Linked DNA regions of Yarrowia lipolytica. Each later gene encodes a partner of the first gene's protein in a complex. Links are inferred from orthologs where the notes say so. Each region holds a gene or a part of one and is shown on either strand. Other genes may lie near its edges.

Region 1 (8,500 bases):
CGGCCCTCGTCGTGGCATGTGCTGCCTGGCAGTCCAGAATGCACTCCATTGGCGAGGTTTACAGCTCGTTTCTGATCCAGGGTCTGGCCGTTAGCATCACCGAAACCATCATCCAGATGACAGTCGCCGATCTGTACTTTGTGCACCAGCGAGGCACCTTCAACGGCATCTACATGTTTGTGGTGGACGTGGGCAACTTTCTGATTCTGGTGCCCGCGGGATACATCACCGTCAACCTCGGATGGAGATGGGTCTATATCATTGTGGCTATAATTGCGGGCGGGCAGTTTCTCATGACAGTATTCTTGTTTGAGGAGACCAAGTACTTGACTAATCCTGAACAGACGTTCATCACCGAGGAGGACTCTTCTGAGGAGGACTCCTCTGAGGAAAACTGCGGCGCTGCTACAAAGTATCTTCCTCAAGAGCCGAAACTGGACAACGACGTGGAGCTGCAGATGAACCCACTGTCCAAGCGTCTGGCTCTGGTGACTTATACTCCTGCAAGATGCAAGGAGTTTGGACGAAAGATGATCATTCCGTTTGTCACGCTGATCTCATATCCCATTGTTGCATTTTCTGCCATTCAGTACGGCTTCATGCTCACGTGGCTGTCCATGGCTGCTACCACTAGTGCCAATTCTTTCGCGCTGCCACCATACAATTTCTCCTCCGCAGCTATTGGCAACGTCAACATTGCCCCCTTCGTCGGCATGATCTTCGGATCTGTCTTTGGAGGCTGGTTCAACGACAAGACCATCATATGGCTGTCCAACAGAAACAAAGGCATATACGAGCCGGAGTTTCGACTCTACAGTCTCGTATTTGCCAACTTTTCGCTCACAGTGGGCGTTTTTCTGTTTGGCACATCTCTGGCCAACCGAGTGCATTGGATGGTCCCCACAATCGGCTTTGCCATCATTATGTTCGGATTCGGATCATCAGGAGCCATAGTCGTGACCTACCTGCTCGACTGCTACGACAAGATTGTTGCTGACGCCTTCATTGGCGTGATTGTGGTCAGAAACGGACTGGCCATGGTCATCATCTTCTGTTTGGGTCCATGGGAGGAAAGGATGGGTCTTCAGAACGTGTACATTATGGCCGGCTGTTTCTCGCTCGTTCCGTTGATTCTCACAGTTCCCATGATCATCTGGGGCAAGGAGTTGAGAAGAAAAAGTGGGCCTCGCTATCTCAAGGAGTCTCTTAGGGGTCAGTGATAGATTATTGCATATATTTAGAGCAGGCTGGCACGGGTACAAGTGCTGTACAAGTGAAGTATTGGCAGTTGTGTGACGATTTAGCAAGTCTCCAATGTCGTACAAGTTCTTGAAGTCGGCAATATCACTGGAGTACCAGTCCGTGTGTGTCTATATCCAACCGCTTTAGCAACCCCAAGAAAACTGCTGGTCATTGTGGAAATGTTTCATTTCTTCACCCTCGAAGGGACTCTGAAAGTCCCCCAAACAGTTTCAAAGACTCTTCTTCATCTCCACCTGTTTTAATCAAATAAATCTGAATATTTTCAACATTCCCAGTTTTTTATCTTTTATTCCAAGTTTTTTGTCTTTTATTCCCAGATTAAATCATCCCAATATCCGCTTAGCCTGCAGCAAATTCAAAACACCTTTTTTCCAAACTCAAAAATCATTTCCAATCTACACATTCACATCGCCTGATCAGCTCTAGAGGTTGATACAAGAGTGAGTACGAGCGCGCAAAAGTGGCGCAGATGGAAGTGGCACATTGTTTGGTGGCAGAAGAACCGCCCGGCCACCACACGGCGCCAATGGAGACACCTCAGCAATGACATCAACACCGACCTACATGATATGGACATGGGCTGGATGTGGATACCGAGAGTGCGACGGTGGTTGTGTCATGCGATATAACCAGCCGAGATGCGTGAACGTGCCACGTCATCGATGGGGATATTCGATACTGAGCTGTTTCTGGTTCAGATCATGTCATGTCACATACCATGAAGAGACTCTTGACGACATGGGCACCAGACCATCAGCGTATTTACTACGTGGTTGTGTTTGCCACTCATCAAATTGCCACGTCATTAGTTGTCACACCATCGGTTTGATTCGCTTATGGGGTCCGTTCAGACCTCCTACCCTTGCTTTCGTTTACTAACACAGTGCCACCTGGACTACCACCCCCTCCAGGTCTCAGACCACCAGGGGCGCCACCAGGCTTCCCCACGGGAGCACCACCTCCTCCCGGAGCTCCACCCCCTCCCGGAGCTCCACCTCCTCCGGGAGCTCCTCCAGGTGCACCTCCTCCACCTGCTGAGGACTCACGATCGTCTCTCTTACAAGCCCGAAAGAAGCGATGGCTCAAGCTGCAGAAGCGCAAGTTTGCCGACAAGTCCGGCAAGTCGACGTTTGTGCACTCGTCCAAGGCAGATATGCCTCCGGAGCACCTGCGAAAACTCATCAAGGACCATGGAGATATGAGCTCGCGCAAGTTTGCGTCCGACAAACGAGCTTACCTCGGAGCTCTCAAGTTCATGCCCCACGGTGTGATCAAGCTGCTGGAGAATATGCCCCAGCCCTGGGAGGCCGTTCGAGAGGTGAAGGTGCTGTACCACATTTCTGGTGCCATCACTTTCGTGAACGAGATCCCCCGAGTCGTGCCTCAGGTGTACACAGCCCAATGGGCAACCATGTGGGTGATGATGCGACGAGAAAAACGAGACCGACGACACTTCAAACGAATGCGATTCCCTCCTTTTGACGACGAAGAGCCTCCGATTTCTTGGGCAGAAAACATTCAGGATGTTGAGCCCCCAGAGGGCATTTTGATGGACCTGAGTCCCGTGGATGACTCAGCAGTGGTGGATTGGTTCTACGAGCACAGACCGCTGTTCGAGGACGGACTCAAGGTCAACGGGCCCTCCTACCGGTCGTACAGACTGAGTGTTGAGCAGCTGACCACTCTCTATCGACTTGCCACTCCTCTTCTTCCCGATGTTACCGACCCCAACTACTTTTACCTGTTTGACAAAAAAGCCTTTTACACCGCCAAGGCTCTGAATATGGCAATTCCGGGAGGTCCAAAGTTTGAGCCTCTCTACAAAGACCTGGATCCCGACAATGAGGACTTTGGTGAGTTCAATGCCATCGACAGAATCATTGTGCGAAACATGATCACCACAGAACACAAGGTGGCATTCCCCCATGTGTACAACTCCATGCCTCGAAAGGTGGAACTGGTGACGTACTCGTACCCTCAGGAAGTTGTTGTCAAATCTGAGGATCCTGATCTGCCTCCTTACTACTTTGATCCCAAGTTGGCTCCGATCACGAGGTCGAAGATCGATAATAATGTGGACGTTGATCTCTCCGAAGATCTTGGACCTCTCGCACCTCCCCTGGAGTCTGTTCCTCTTGTCAACGAGCAGCTTTCATCAGCTCTGGCTCTCTACCATGCTCCCAGTCCCTTCGATCGACGTTCCGGTCCTACTGTGCGTGCTCAGGACGTGGCTCTTATCAAGGATTGGTACCTGCAGCATCCTCCCAAGGGCTACCCCATCAAGGTGCGAGTTTCCTACCAGAAGCTACTGAAGTCGTACGTGTTGACGTCTCTGACCTCTCAGTCTACAGTCACTCAAAAGAAGCGTGGATTGCTGAAGTCGTTGAGAAACACAAAGTTTTTCCAGCAGACGGAAATTGACTGGGTGGAAGCTGGTTTACAGCTTTGTCGACAGGGTTTCAACATGCTTAACCTGTTGATTCACAGAAAGGGTCTCACATACCTGCATTTGGACTACAACTTCAATTTGAAGCCTACAAAGACACTTACTACCAAGGAGCGAAAGAAGTCTCGGTTTGGAAATGCCTTCCACCTCATGCGTGAGATTCTGCGAGTGGTTAAAATCCTTGTGGACGCTCAGGTTCAATTCCGACTCGGTAATGTCGACGCCTTCCAGCTGGCCGATGGTATTTACTACACCCTGAACCACCTGGGCCAGCTCACCGGTATTTATCGATACAAGTACAAGGTGATGCACCAGATTCGAACTTGTAAGGATCTGAAGCACGTGGTTTACTACAGGTTCAACGTCGTTATCGGTAAGGGTCCTGGCTGTGGTTTCTGGCAGCCTGCCTGGCGGGTGTGGCTATTTTTCCTCCGTGGAATCATCCCCCTTCTTGAGCGGTGGCTGGGAAACCTTCTGGCGCGTCAGTTTGAGGGTCGTCACTCCAAGGGCGTTGCCAAGACTATCACCAAGCAGCGAGTCGAATCTTCCTACGATCTCGAGCTTCGAGCGTCGGTTCTCAAGGATATTCTGGACATGATTCCTGAGGGTATCAAGGAGGCCAAGACCAAGACTGTTCTGCAGCATCTATCTGAGGCCTGGCGGTGCTGGAAGGCCAACGTGCCGTGGAAGGTGCCTGGTATGCCTGCCCCCATCGAGAACATTATCTTACGTTACGTCAAAGCCAAGGCTGAGGGCTGGATGGCTGCTGCTCACTACAACCGAGAGCGAATCAACCGAGGCGCCACTGTGGACAAGACGCTTGCCAAGAAGAATCTCGGCCGTCTGACTCGTCTGTGGCTCAAGTCCGAGCAGGAGAGACAACAAAACTTCCTGCGAGACGGCCCATACTGGGACGGTAATGACGCACGGGCCATCCAGCAGATGATGGTGAACTGGCTAGAGTCACGAAACTTTTCCACCATCTCCATGCCTCCTGCCAGTTACAAGCACGACACCAAGCTGCTGGTGTTGGCGCTGGAGGGTATGAAGGAGGGCTTCAACTCCAAGGGACGTCTCAACCAGAGCCAGCGAGACGAAATGGCGTACATAGAACAGGCCTATGACAATCCTCATGAGACTCTGCGACAGGTGAAGGAGAACTTTGTGCGTAACGAGGGTTTCAAGGACGTGGGATTGGAGATGATGGATCACTACTCTCACGTGACTCCCGTGTACGACATTGACCCCACCGAGAAGATTGCTGACGCATATCTGGACCAGTATCTGTGGTATGAGGGTGACAAGAATGGCCTCTTCCCCAACTGGATCAAGCCTAGTGATTCGGAAGTGCCTCCCTTGCTCGTGTACAAGTGGTGCCAGGGCATCAACAATCTGGACAACATTTGGAAGACTGACGCTGGAGAATCGACTGTCATGCTGGAGACTTCTCTGAGCAAGATCTGGGAGAAGATTGACTTTACTTTTTTGCAGTATCTGCTCCGGTTGATCATGGACGAGAACTTGGCCAAGTACATCATTGCCAAGAACAACGTCCGGCTCACTTACAAAGACATGTCTCACACCAACAACTATGGTCTTTTGCGAGGTCTGCAGTTCTCGTCGTTTGTGGTTCAGTACTATGGTCTCGTTGCTGACTTGCTCATCCTGGGTCTCACTCGAGCGTCTCAGATGGCTGGTGATCCCAAACGGCCCAACTACTTCATGCAATACCCCTCCGTCGCTGTGGAGACGGACCATCCTATCAGAGCGTACTCTCGGTACATTGACCGAATCCACATCCTCTTCCGGTTTACTAAGGACGAGTCTTCGGATTTGGTTCATCGGTTCTTGACTGAGCACCCGGACCCCAACTTTGAAAACGTGGTTAACTTCCCTACTAAGAAGTGCTGGCCGCGTGACTCTCGAATGCGGCTCATGCGGTCCGACGTGAATCTTGCACGCGCCGCGTTTTGGGAAATTCAGAACCGACTCCCTCGAGCCATGACGTCCATTGAGTGGTCTGAGTCGTTTGTCTCTGTCTACTCCAGCGAAAACCCCAATCTGCTGTTTTCCATGTGCGGTTTTGAGGTTCGAATCCTGCCCAAGTGTCGAACTGTGGCGTCTGTGCCCGTCAAGGACTCTGTCTGGAACCTCACCAACGAGTCTACCAAGGAGCGAACTGCGTATGCTTTCTTGCGCGTCTCTGATGCCGATATTGCGCGGTTCAACAACAGAATTCGACAGATTCTCATGTCGTCTGGTTCCACCACCTTCACGAAGATTGCCAACAAGTGGAACACTGCTCTGATTTCGCTGTTCACGTATTATCGAGAGGCGGCTGTCGCCACTGAGCAGCTTCTGGACACCCTGGTCAAATGCGAGACCAAGATTCAAACTCGTGTCAAGATTGGCCTCAACTCCAAAATGCCAACTCGTTTCCCCCCTGCCGTGTTCTACACCCCCAAGGAGCTTGGTGGTCTGGGTATGTTTTCTGCTTCTCACATTCTGATCCCTGCCAGTGATCTGCGGTGGTCCAAGCAGTCTGATCAGGGCGGCATTACCCACTTCCGAGCTGGTATGACTCATGTTCACGGCGAAGACAAGATCATTCCAAATATTTTCCGGTACTTGACGACCTGGGAGGCAGAGTTCACCGACTCGCAGCGTGTGTGGGCCGAGTATGCGTCCAAACGAGCCGAGGCCAAGGCCGAGAACCGGCGTCTGTCTCTGGAGGATCTAGAGGACTCGTGGGACCGAGGTCTGCCTCGAATCAACACATTGTTCCAGAAGGACAGACATACGCTGGCCTACGATAAGGGTCACCGTGTGCGAACGGAGTTCCGACAGTTCTCCATCCCTAGAGTCAACCCCTTTTGGTGGACGTCTCAGCGTCATGACGGTAAGCTGTGGTCGCTGAATACATACAGAACAGACGTCATCCAGGCACTGGGTGGCATTGAGACGATTCTGGAACACACTCTGTTCAAGGGTACCGGTTTCGACAACTGGGAAGGTCTCTTCTGGGAGAAGGCCGCTGGCTTCGAGGACCAACTCAAGCTCAAGAAGCTGACCAACGCCCAGCGGTCTGGTCTCAACCAGATTCCCAATCGACGCTTCACTCTCTGGTGGTCTCCTACCATCAACCGAGCCAATGTCTACGTTGGTTTCCTGGTACAGCTGGATCTCACGGGTATCTTTTTGCATGGTAAAATCCCCACGCTCAAGATTTCGCTGATTCAGATTTTCCGGGCCCATTTGTGGCAGAAAATCCACGAGTCGGTGGTGCTTGATATCTGTCAGGTGCTTGATCGAGAGCTGGAGACGCTGCAGATTAGTGAGACTCGAAAGGAACAAATTCATCCTCGAAAGTCGTACAAGATGAACTCTTCGTGTGCTGATATTGTGCTCAAGTCGGCCTACAAGTGGAACGTTTGCAAGCCTTCATTGTTGAACGATTCGTCCGACTCCATGGATTTCGCTCAAACGTCCGAGTTCTGGCTGGACGTGCAGCTTCGATACGGAGACTACGACTCGCACGATATCAGTCGGTACACTCGAGCCAAGTTTCTGGAGTACACCACCGACGGAGTGTCTGTCTACCCCTCGCCTGTTGGAGCCATGGTTGGCATTGATCTTGCGTACAACATGTACGACGCCTATGGCAACTGGTTCCCCGGTCTGAAACAGCTCATGCGTCCTGCCATGTCCAAAATCATGCAGGCCAACCCTGCATTGTTTGTGCTGCGAGAACGAATCCGAAAGGGCCTGCAGCTGTATCAGTCGCAGCCGCAGGAAGCGTTCCTCAACTCGCAAAACTACCAGGAGTTATTCAACAACGAGGTGCAGTTCTTCGTGGACGATTCGAACGTCTACCGAGCCGCTGCTCATACCACTTTTGAGGGCAACTTTACCAACAAGCCTCTTAACGGTGCTGTGTTCATTTTGAACCCCAAGACCGGTCAGCTGTTCCTCAAGGTGGTTCACACGTCCACTTGGGCCGGTCAGAAGCGTCTGTCTCAGCTGGCCAAATGGAAGGCGGCCGAAGAGGTGGCTGCTCTGATCCGATCTCTTCCAAAGGAAGAGCAGCCCAAACAGGTGATTGTCACTCGAAAGAGTATTGTTGAGCCGCTGAAGCAGCAGCTGTTTGAGTTCCCCAACACGGTCATCCGGCCGTCGGAGCTCCAGCTGCCGTTCAAGTCTGCTCTGCAGGTGGAGAAGCTCGGAGATCTGATTCTCAAAGCAACTGAGTCGCAGATGGTTATTTTCAATCTCTTTGACGATTGGCTCAAGTCAATTTCCAGTTACACTGCCTTTGCTCGTCTGGTTCTCATTTTGCGAGGTATGCATGTCAACCATGAGAAGACAAAGATCATTCTGCGTCCCGATCACACGGTTGTGACTCTTGACCATCACATGTGGCCTTCCTTCTCAGAAGATCAGTGGGTGCACGTGGAGAATCAGCTGCGAGACATGATTCTCAACGACTACGGCAAGAAGAACAATGTGAACATCCAGTCGCTGACTCAGCACGAGATTCGAGATATTATTCTGGGCCAGGAGATCAAAGCACCTTCTCAAAAGCGTCAGGAGCTGCAGGACATTGAGGAGAACAAGACAGACTCTCAGGTGACTGCACTAAAGACCAAGTCTCAAAACGTGCATGGAGACGAAATGGTGGTGGTAACCACGTCCAACTACGAGCAGCAGGTGTTTCAGAGCAAGACTGAGTGGCGGTCTCGAGCTCTCAGTACCGCCAACCTACATCTTCGAGCTGAGAAAGTGTTTGTGGAG
Region 2 (3,298 bases), on another chromosome or scaffold:
ATTCATAGAAACGGTGTAGATCTCTTTTTGAGTGGAGACCAGGCCGGAGAGTTGCCATATAGCTGACTAAGCAGTACCGTGAGTCCGTCGACGGGTGCGAGTTCAGTACAAGTCCTCGTATTTGTTGTCTTCTCTTCACCATTATCTGCTAGTACAAGTACATATTGTAGCTACAGTAAGCAGTTTATTTGGGACTACATGTTGGACCACATGCAATGTCCGATGATGTCATAATGGACATTTTTACCAGGGTGCTGTCTTATAATTATTGTACAAGTGTAAATCTCTTGTGTGCTGTCGTTTAAGTAGCAAGACTACTCTCGGTTGTACACACGTACAGTAGGCGAGTACTTGTAGAATGACCCATTATTGACGCCAACCGTTTCATAGCGCTATAGATCATGTCCATAGGCTGTAGACGTCGGAAGGTATGCGGGATAAGCCGTCTGATAACCACCGCGATCACCCTGTCGTACTCCCTGCTGCCAAGAAATCTTTCAGTATGAGTACAGTACGAGTGCGAGTAGTGTACGTCCTCAAGTGCAGTAGTTGCTGTCACCATGCTGGCAGAGGTGGTCATCTCTTTCACAGTTGAGATCAGCCTTTCAAGTGACTGGGGGACGTAGTGATATAGACAATTTTAGCTGGTCAACTTTCCATTCGTAGAGGACTGCTGCCGTAGCTTCACCTAGAGTGCTTCTGTTACAGCAGTGTCGTAAGTCCATTAAATGAGCACTTGGTCACTCAGATGTAGACTTGGTCACTCAGATGTAGATTTGGGATACTTCCGACTTGCCCTGGAAGACCGTTCGAGTATTAGACGTGTGTATCCTATGCGTTAAACGCTTGTGCAGTTCCGTGGCTTGTGTGTGGTGCTAATGTGCTGATGTGCTGTGTAGCACGAGCTATCCGTACAGTGAAATGTTCTGGCGCCCTTAAAATCACTTTTTTGTACTTCCAAACCCGCCAAAGCCCATGGCGGCCATCATTTCGTCGTCAGCTCCTTCTTCCACCTTTTCCTCTCGTTTCTGTCGCTTTCGATCCTTCTTCTTCTTCTTCTGTCGCTCAATCAACTGTTTTCTGGCACTGATCCGAGCGTTGATATCGTAGTCCAACTCCTTCTCCTGGGCGCGTTTTCGCTCCGTCAGCCACTTGAGCCGCTTCTGAACATCCTCCAGCGTCGATTGTCGGGGTCCGTCCGTCTCTCCAATCTCATACAAGTGCTGTTTACTGTTGAGATGGTCGATCCATTGAATGGAGTCTTTGTATGTGAGGTTGCACACTTCACAGTAGAAGCCAGCTCCTTTTCCTCGTCTTCCCACCGAGGCCGTGGCGGGAACCAGCTGGAGAGTGTTCAACCCTTCGTTGAAGTCGATCCGCTCAGTTCTTGCCGACATGCTTGAGGTGAAAGATGAGATGATGGGCTAAATAAAATATCCATGATATGCAGGTGGATGGGTGAACTTTATCGTAGAGTGGTCTGGATGTAAGTATTTAGTTAAAAAAAAAGGGGGTTTACTCGATTTATACTTAGGTGAAAAATATAAAACAAAGCAAACACTCATTGAATAACTACTGTAATGACAGAGAGGGGATATCAAAACAATCCAAACAACTGAAAACAGGAAGAAACCTACTGAAAGCACTACATATCAGTTATATATACAATTGAGAAACACCCATTGTCGTTTAGTCGCGTTACCTTCCCCCAGAAAGACTTGTACCATCCCAGGGTCCTGTCCTACACTACAATCTCAGTCAGTATCTCAATCTATATCTATTTACTGCTTAAGGTGAATGCCTCGGGCATGAAGAGCGTCCTTAACATTGTCGTAAACCACGTCAGGGTCCTGCTTGCAGTCGACAACCACGACTCGGTCCTGGGTCTCAAAGTAGTCGACGACAGGCATGGAAGTCTCGATGAAGGTCACGAACCGCTTTCGGATGGACTCGATGTTGTCATCGGTTCGGCCCGAGGTCTCGCCTCGCTTGAGCAGACGCTTGAGCATGACCTCCTCGGGACACTCGAAGAAGAGAGTGAACTTGGAGACGGCCACGTCCTCCTCGAACTTGAGGGCCTGGTCCATCTTTCGGGGGAAGCCATCAATGAGGAATCGGGTCTTGCCCTTGGCCACGCTCTCCTTCATGGCGTTCTTGAGCAGGCCAATGGTCACCTCCTGGGGCACAATGTCTCCCGCCTTGATGCAGTCGGCGATGAGCTTGCCGTACTGCGAGTTGGGTCGAGACTGCTCCTCTCGCAGCAGATCACCGGCAGACAGGTGCACAAAGCCGTACTCGTTGACCAGCTTCTCGCACTGGGTGCCCTTGCCGGCTCCGGGGCCTCCTAGCACAAAGATGACGGAGACCTCGTTGGGGCCAAACGCGGCCTTCTTGTACTTGGATTTGGTCTGCTGGACCATCTGGTTGTAGTCCTCCTCGGTGATCTCGGCCACCACGGGCTTCTTGTCGAGCTGCTTGGCCGCCCACATGAAGAAGGCGGTGGTGGCTCCAAAGGCAATCACCAGCTTGACAGGGGTCGGCATGGCGCCCTGGAGCAGCTCGTGGGACGCGTATTTTCGGGCCATGGGGCTGGGGCGGTTCATTCGGCCCATGGTCCGGGCCAGGTGCGAGATTCGGCTTCGGAACATGATGTTTGTGTGTGGTGGTGTCCGGGCTTGATTTGCTGTAGGAGTGAAATTTGACGGAGCTGCAGGGTGCGTGTAAACCGCCGCAGCTCTTAAGTACCGGCGGGCGACGGTCTCAGCACAGGCAGCAGAACAACGAGCAAACATGGCCGTGCGCGAAAACTGGGACTTTCCATTGGTGAACAGAGGGAAGTGGAAACAAAACGGGGGAGCACACGACTATATATATACACGCTGCCTTTCTCACAACGGCTTTTTTTTATGTTGACGTGGGAGGTCATAACCTTGACAATGGTGCGTTTGGTCAGGGGGAAGCAACATTAATAAAACTACGAGTACACTGTAGTTGTAACAGAGTCCTGGTGAAACCGATTTGTGGTCTTGTCGGACTTGTCACGTGATATACATTACTCATTACGTCAGCCCCACGGTCTCCCGGCACTACAAGTACTCCTCCTGTTCTTTGGTTCAATACCAAAAAAAAAAAAAAAAACACACACATTCCAAGCAACCGATAGAGTTGGAGCCCAAAGGATAGAGAGAGATAGACAGACGCAACCATGACCAGCCTTGGCGGTGGTGGAGATTTGTGGAAGGAACAAGTAAATGATAGAGACACAAATGGGGATGCAAATGTGTTGTTTCTTCCGTCC
Region 3 (3,390 bases), on another chromosome or scaffold:
TCTGTGGATCGAACACAGGACCTCCAGATTACTCTGACTAAAGAATGACTTCAGTCTGGCGCTCTCCCAACTGAGCTAAATCCGCCCAAACTTTACAAGAAAAAAAGTGTGATCTCTGCTTTCTAAATTGTGCTTATGTAATCACAAAAACACGATTGATATGATTAATTGATTTAATAGTTTTGATTTACTACCACGTGACCGCGAAAAAGGAAACGACCAAAAGCAATCTCGAACTCATTGACTCGCTCTCCGTGACGCGCATCTCAACGATTATTATGACTAATTTAATGAACGCCAATAAGCCGGCTTACTAAGCATATAGCTTTAATGAATCATTAGAATTAAAACAAAAAAAAAAAAAAAAAACATTATAAAAAACGAAAACGGAAACGGAAACAAACTGAAGATTTTAGAGGAATGTAAGCACTGCTTTGAGTAGTTCCATGTCACAACAGATATTATTAATATACTAGCATTTCTGACAATCACTGTTATCGTCCCATCAGATTTGCAAAAGAATGTATAACCGAGCTATATGACTGACTTCAGAGTTCATCGTAAGGAAGTCTAGAGTCGTACTTGCTCGTTTGTAGCTGTCATTTCCATCTTTATCTTGCGCACAATGGGTATCACAGGCTCAGAGGAATAGTAAGAGCTCACGTCGGTGGTGGAGTAGTCCTGTCACTTGTACAGTGCTCCACCGTTTCGTATCAGAAGATAGTCCAATATACACGTCCATTCCCTATTATGCTAATTATATTATATACCTTTTTCCAGCCATGAGTGAGTGCGCCATTGTCCCCCATCTCATCTTTGCTCCCGGTTCTTTCTATGCCGTATCTCCAAAACTAAACACTCTGTTCGGGGCTGTTCTTGAGTGCTCTTGAGGCTGTGTAATCCTGTGTTTCGGACGTTAGTCACCGAACATGACAGTCCGCGTGGTTTCACAGTTCTGCCCAGACGTGTGTATGCGTCTACGCCCGTCCAAATCCAGGAGGAGCCTGGAACCCGGGAGGAGCTCTTCCTCCAGGCGCACTTCGCACGGGACCTCCCAATCCCGGTCCTCCAGCTCCTCTGGGACCTGTGGGGATGGCCCGGTTGATGCCCTTGGCAGACCCGGATCCGGGTGTCAGAGCGGTGTTGCCCAGTCGAGCTGTAGGATCTGTGGGAGGAGGAGCCTCGACAGACACAGAAACCACAGTCTCGCCTCGTAGAATGACCAACCCCAAAGTCCGTTTCTCCTCAGTGATGGACACGGAAGAAGCGTCGCCATTCTCGATCTGGATAGTCTTTTTTGCCTCCAGCAGCGACTTTTTCGTTGCCCGGAACTCCTCGCAGTCACTTAGAACAAGATTCATGTACCGGTCGAACGCCAGCATCTGTCCCACCATCTGCTTGCCATCCACAGTCGTCACCCGGAGCCTGTAGTTGACCAGATCGGCCATTTTTGTCTTGTTTGGTACCTGTGTTAGCAAAACGCTGGAGCTGCTCGTCCCATCGAGCGTTTTGAGATTAATCATGTAACACTTTTGGTCACGTGATGTAGATCTTCAAGTGATGTCGGTTGCCACATGATGGCTCTTTCCAATCATACTCACAATCATCTTGTGTGACGGTGTGTGTGTGTGTGTGTGTGTGTGTGTGTACAGTAGTGCAATGTCTCGTTGGTGATGCACAACTGGAGGATCAACTTTGTGTGCAGATTGTCATGCAGTAGGGTAACTGGGTATGGCGGCCGAAGTGGACAAAAAAGCGGTTGATTTTTGTGCATTAAAAAAAATGGGAATTTCGAGTTGTTTCTTGGTCCTCTTTTTTTTTTCCTTTTTTTTCCTTTTTTTATTTTTTTCTTTTGTTAATTTATTTATTTCTCCATTTCTTATTTGGTTGCTGCTGTTGAAGAAGAGGTTGGAGAGGTATACCTTTGCCTTAGTCGAACGTCCAGAGATGGAATTATTGTTGGACAATAGGGAGACCTGAAAATGTAGAAATGATGGGCTTGAGTGGGGTTTCTATTGGTGTAATTTTCATGTCTAGCGAATAGCTCGTTTGTCATCAAATCAGAGACTATGTATTGTCCCTAGTAATCGAGGTGTGATTACATAATATCAAAATAATCAGCTTGAGTAGACTACCCATTAGTGTAGTCTTAGTCAGCAAATCGGAGATTGTTTGAAAGATTATTAATGATAATCAAAAATATATGTTTTAATAAAAAATGATGATATAATGAAGAGAGACTCGCACCTTCGTTGGACTACGACTAACCTACAAGTAGCTACAAGTACTTTCCTTTCAGTATATCCCTGGTATCTCTTTGTCAAGTATCAAAATAATCCCCTCGAATCGCTTTATCCATCTCTATCCAACTGATGTTACTTGTTAGTCATCAAGCGGTGATATCACGTCAGTCATCAACGGCAACATGTTGTAGTCATTATTAATTGATTAAATATACAGTGAGCAAAGTGTTCTCTAGGCTGGTTTGTGGTTGACCATGTCGTATCTTTGACATTCAGTCACTTGTCGGACACAATTAGTTGGCCTCCTTGGTCAGCTGGTCGCCGTTGACAATCACCTTCTCCTGGGCGATCTTCTTGAGGTCTCGCTTTCCAAGGTGCTCGATGTTCTTGAGCTTGTCGCCGTTGACGATGGCGTTGACCGGGGCAGGGGCAGGGGCAGGAGCAGCAAGAGCCAGGGTGGAGAGAGCAGCAATGAGAGTGGTGGAGAGTCGCATGGTGGATGTGGCAGAAACGAACGTTGGTTGGAACTAACAAAGACGAAAGACGAAAGACGGAGACGCCTCCCCGCTTATATATATATACCGCGTCAGAGCCAGGGTTAGAGTTGAATATGAACGCTTGGCTCCTGCACGTCATCCCTTGGAGTATGTAGATGCAGGGGGAAGGCGGCGGGATCGAGGAGAGGGCCAAACGCGGGACTGGGGCTATCACGTGACGAAAGGAAGCAACGACACTGTTGCTTGTAGTTGTTAATGACGTGATCAACGACTTTTTCCCTGCTTGCCACTGCGAATAAGCGCCTCTCTGGCCCACATCCCTTGTGTTTACAATCTATTGTTAGCATTCTTCCTTTCAACTTTATCACAGAGTTGGGGCGGGAGCTAGACTCCGTTGCTGGGGGTGAAAAGACGTGTTTTTCGTGTCGCACGGACCGCGACTCGGTTTTCGCCCCGTCCAGATTGCTTAGATGCCAGCCTTTGTTTCTATATCATCCGCTAAACCCCATAGATAGCCGCAGCAAGCAGTATCTCAGCTCTTGGCACCTACGATAATGCACGTCATACTTGTAAACAATGAGCGCATAGTCCGAACACACACAGGGATAAGGTGTCAGCCAATTGAAAGTGGTAGGAGGTCCGGCGAGCCC
Region 4 (4,080 bases), on another chromosome or scaffold:
ATCGTCGGCATCAACAGGAGGAGGAGGAATCTTAACATCTTCCTCTTCGGGCTTGACCTCAGATTTCACGTTCATCTTGTCTGTGCGAATGTCGTGAGGAAACGATGATGGAAATGTATCTATCTCGATCAGCGAAACCGCCAAAGTGCTGAGGTTCTGCATATATGAACTTTCTTGGTGAAGTTTAAATATGGTACCGTAGGTAATGTATGGACATGTACCTAATGATGGGTGATTGAAGAGTTGCGGGTATAGTTTTTCCGAGATATTCTTCTCGAATTACTGGTATATATTTGCTAGACTACCTTTTTTCAGTTTTAATGGTCATTGCATGCCCCAATTGTGTGGTCGTGGTGACAGTTTGGGTTGCTCTCGATGGTCAACTATAGAGCTGTCAAACGAGAGGAATAACAGTTGGAAAGTTAGTTGAAGTATGAGATGCTCCAAGTTCGAGTTCTGTTCAAGTCGATTCAAACAAAAGCCCCATCTTGACACCAGTTTGGGTCCTCTTTGTGTGCTATAATACGAGTATTAAAGAGGATATTAATCAGCTTGGCCAGTAACGAAGGTTGAGGAAGGACTTCGGAAGGCTCCAATACCCCATTGTTACTAAGCATTAATGCAAAGCATTATTACTAAGCAAAAAAACTTACATTGTCGCCACCTTAGTAAGCTGCAAAAAACAGAGATTGCAGCACCCAGGATTCTCGTATGGTCTCCCACTACAATACTAACTAGGCTCTCTGGTGCTTGACTATGGCTGATCGGACGGGAAGCCGTATTTTCACCAGGATATGGCCGCAACCGTTAGGACCAAAAACCGTTAGACTGTTTTGAGAAGACAGATTAGTCACGTGATCGCAAAAGTTGGTGTCAATTTTAGACCCTTTGAAGGGGGATTTTTGGTATAAGAAAGGGATATGTATGCTAAGCATGACTCTGCGCATGTCTCTGTGCCACTCGCAATCAATGATATCGACGAAATATGTTGAAATTGAGACATATTATGATGTTTGGGGTGGATTGTCCAAGTTCCCACTGTACGCACGAGTATGTACTGTATTCTGGAATATTAGCAATAGTACACACGCAATTGGGCAGCAGAATGATCACAAATGTGCAATTCAATTGAATTTGACCCCATAACCCTCTCCGTATCTCTCGCGCGCACATCTGCACCGGATCTCCACCTTCATGGTTCCGTTTCTTCCCGCATGTGCTGCTTTGTCGATCAATACAATCAGCCGAGGGTCGGCAATCACATTGGGCGTTCTCATAACTGTTGATCCGCTAGCAATAGAGGTCAGCTCACCTTTTTGCCTTTGATCTAACCCAGAAGTCTCGGGTTCAGGCACCCTGAGACACACAGCTCACCTATACCTGCGCAGCAGAGTTCACCGCCGTTAGACCGAACTGCAATCAAAGTAACTTTCCGAGGAAGAGTTGAGGGGAATATGAGCGGTCTGTCAGTGAGTGTAGAAGAGACGTATGTAAGAATACATGTACACAAGGTCGAGTTCATCGATGTATCTTAGGTAGTGGCCTCGAGAAGAGATTCAGAGCTACAAGATGTTGTTTCTGGACGGCATATTTCGAGTGAAGGTCAGAGTTACTTGCGCTTAAAACTAACTAGTTCTATTGTCCTTGTTGAAAGTTACTTAATATGAACTGAAAAAATCCCATTGGTTGAGTGTGAGGAGAAGTTCGGACTAAAGCAACGAGACGTGGGCAAGAGCGTTACAAGGATAGTATGGAGTCTTCCAAGAGTGTGAAAATTGCATGTTTGTATCGGAAAAAGGTTTTCTGACTAAGCAACTGCCTCGATTTCTCATTTTCAAGGCGACTTGGTGGTGTCGCCTACCTCTCCATATCTGGTCATGGTCGTGCCTCGATAAAGTTGGCAGAGGAAAAAAAGAAGAACGCTGTTTTTAAGGTTGGCACAAAATGTGTTCTGCAGCTGCATAGATGTATGTGCAGCATCGCAAAAAAACGCTACTTCATTCACAACACACAAAAATGGATTTTGCAGCACTGATTCAGGGCGAAATCTCCAAGAAGAAAGCTGGAACGGGAGTGGCAGACTACGGCTGTAAGGCAGCGGCTCCCAAGCCCGCCCAGACGACAGTTTCCGACAACTCAGACGACCTCAAGCGCCTGGAACGGCTGAAGCAGATGAAGCGACAGAGAGAACTTGACCGGGAAGAAGAGCGACTTGAGCGAGAAGAGGCCAAGAGAGCCAAGCAGGAATCTTTGGCCAAAGCACCAGCTTCCACAACATCTACCGTATCGACAGAGCATGATGTGGCAACATCGGAACCAATAGAGACAGTGGAAGAAATGGCTGCCAATGACGCGAGAACAAACGTGCGAATCGACTGGAGTGACGTAGCCACAAAGAAGGATGCCACAAGGGATTCGGAGACCAAGAAAAAGCTCGCCATGCAGCTGAGAGTGTTTCTGGCACGGTTATTGAGTGAATGGGAGGGTACTTTGGATAAGGGAGCTGCAGCCCAGGCCAGTGGAGCGGCCGAAGAGGTCTCCGAGGCAGCAAACGCTTACAAGCGACACACTATCTTCGAAGAAACGCAGACCTCTCTATCTTCTCTCATGGTCTTATTACGACACAATGGTCTCCAAGACGAAGTTCTGGCTATGCTTTCAAAGGTCATGTACCATGTGCAACATGAGGAACACCACCAGGCCTATGATGTCTATCTTAAATTGTGCATTGGAAACGCCTGTTGGCCCGTTGGAGTGGCTTCCATTGGCATTCACGCTAGAGCGTCTCAGAACAAGACTATTGCTTCAGCCCGAAACTCGAAGCAGGTGGCACACATTGTCAATGATGATACGAGGCAGTGGCTTGTGTGCATTAAACGGCTATTGACCTTTGCTGAGGGCTACGAGAGTTGTGTGAGAAAGGCTTTGTTGACTGTTGTGGATATGGAGGATCGGGGGAACCGAGTCAACGAACCGCGAGGAAGGGATGTCAAGGGGACAGTCCTGGAGGAGGCTGGGGTTGATGGCAATTCCGAGACTGACCAGAATGCTGAGGTTGAACAGAAGGAAGCCTCTGAGTAAGTAACCTCCTGTCCTGTGCTCTGCATCATGGGTCGTGTGTTGATTGCTAGAGAGAAGCTGCTTCCACCCATTAAATTATTAATCATTGTATTTTTTGCATTTTGTTGTCTGTTTTGTGAAATGGTTAGTCAGAGTCTCGCCGGGTAGCATTGTATTGTTCTGTCTTGCAATGTAGAGCTACAAGCCGTGGGATTGCAGTAAACCAGATCTGTAGACAAGAGGGTAGCAAGACTCATACAAGTAGAACTGCCGGGGCACACAATACATTTTCGGATTGTGTCAGCTCTTCTTTTTGACTTACTGTCCGTCTGATTACACCATATTCGGGTTGACAATGTCAACTCGTTGCAAGGATGTGTTCTGACAGACATGACAAAAAGGCATACAAAACCAAATGAGGAGCTTGGTTAAGAGCACAAGCTAGATTGATCTAAAAGATTTCATTCTTTTTCTTTTTTTAATCCCCCTCCTTTCAGATCTCTTGAAGATGCCATATCTGTTTTCCCCAATTGGACATGTCAATAGAATCCATGCATGGAAGGTCAAAAATTTCCTGAACGGGAACGGACAATGAATCACAGAGATGATTCTAGACAAGACCAGTATCGAAGCAATTTGGTAATCACCCAAGTTCATTGACGGATCTGTTTTGAAACGTGAATGTGACAAAGCCTCCCTGTTGCCTTATGTCTATAAGTAACAGTACAATCCCTCCCGTGAAGTCCATCAAACAGAAAGAACCACTACTACAACAACTAACACAATGAGCAAGGCTATCCCTCGAGCATATGGCACCGACTCCTACCGAGTCAACTCCAACGTTACAATTGTTGGCGGATACCGAACCTTCCAACCCTCCTCTTGTGTGATTGCCTAACCGAGAGTCGAGTTTCAAATCGCACACATGTTGGACATATCGATAATTGATTGGACATATCAAAAAATGACTACCTATGTAGGCTAGTAGACCATGACGTAGTTGGGCCCGCGATAACATAC

What was found.
Region 2: YALI1_C15021g (region 1) and YALI1_F12983g share a complex: the UniProt entries of both Saccharomyces cerevisiae proteins name them as parts of the U4/U6-U5 tri-snRNP complex. The link is inferred for Yarrowia lipolytica from reciprocal best matches to the Saccharomyces cerevisiae genes PRP8 and SNU23.
Region 3: YALI1_C15021g (region 1) and YALI1_D17410g share a complex: the UniProt entries of both Saccharomyces cerevisiae proteins name them as parts of the U4/U6-U5 tri-snRNP complex. The link is inferred for Yarrowia lipolytica from reciprocal best matches to the Saccharomyces cerevisiae genes PRP8 and SMB1.
Region 4: YALI1_C15021g (region 1) and YALI1_F21279g share a complex: the UniProt entries of both Saccharomyces cerevisiae proteins name them as parts of the U4/U6-U5 tri-snRNP complex. The link is inferred for Yarrowia lipolytica from reciprocal best matches to the Saccharomyces cerevisiae genes PRP8 and PRP18.

The regions. Positions count from the first base shown.
Region 1 is NC_090772.1:1,496,047-1,504,546, reverse strand, and holds the start of YALI1_C15021g (uncharacterized protein), read left to right. Parts: upstream 1-2,416; coding exon 2,417-8,500. Other genes in the region: YALI1_C15048g (uncharacterized protein), read left to right, coding at 1-1,220. UniProt on the Saccharomyces cerevisiae protein: Functions as a scaffold that mediates the ordered assembly of spliceosomal proteins and snRNAs. Required for association of BRR2 with the spliceosomal U5 snRNP, and the subsequent assembly of the U4/U6-U5 tri-snRNP complex.
Region 2 is NC_090775.1:1,296,476-1,299,773, reverse strand, and holds YALI1_F12983g (uncharacterized protein), read right to left. Parts: upstream 1,398-3,298; coding exon 942-1,397; downstream 1-941. Other genes in the region: YALI1_F12969g (uncharacterized protein), read right to left, coding at 1,782-2,792. UniProt on the Saccharomyces cerevisiae protein: Participates in pre-mRNA splicing. Part of the U4/U5/U6 tri-snRNP complex, one of the building blocks of the spliceosome.
Region 3 is NC_090773.1:1,739,176-1,742,565, reverse strand, and holds YALI1_D17410g (uncharacterized protein), read right to left. Parts: upstream 1,524-3,390; coding exon 978-1,523; downstream 1-977. UniProt on the Saccharomyces cerevisiae protein: Plays a role in pre-mRNA splicing as a core component of the spliceosomal U1, U2, U4 and U5 small nuclear ribonucleoproteins (snRNPs), the building blocks of the spliceosome.
Region 4 is NC_090775.1:2,125,941-2,130,020, forward strand, and holds YALI1_F21279g (uncharacterized protein), read left to right. Parts: upstream 1-1,965; coding exon 1,966-3,081; downstream 3,082-4,080. Other genes in the region: YALI1_F21261g (uncharacterized protein), read right to left, coding at 1-162. UniProt on the Saccharomyces cerevisiae protein: Component of the U4/U5/U6 snRNP, binding principally to the u5 snRNP. It is not absolutely required for the second step of pre-mRNA splicing at low temperatures but is required at higher temperatures.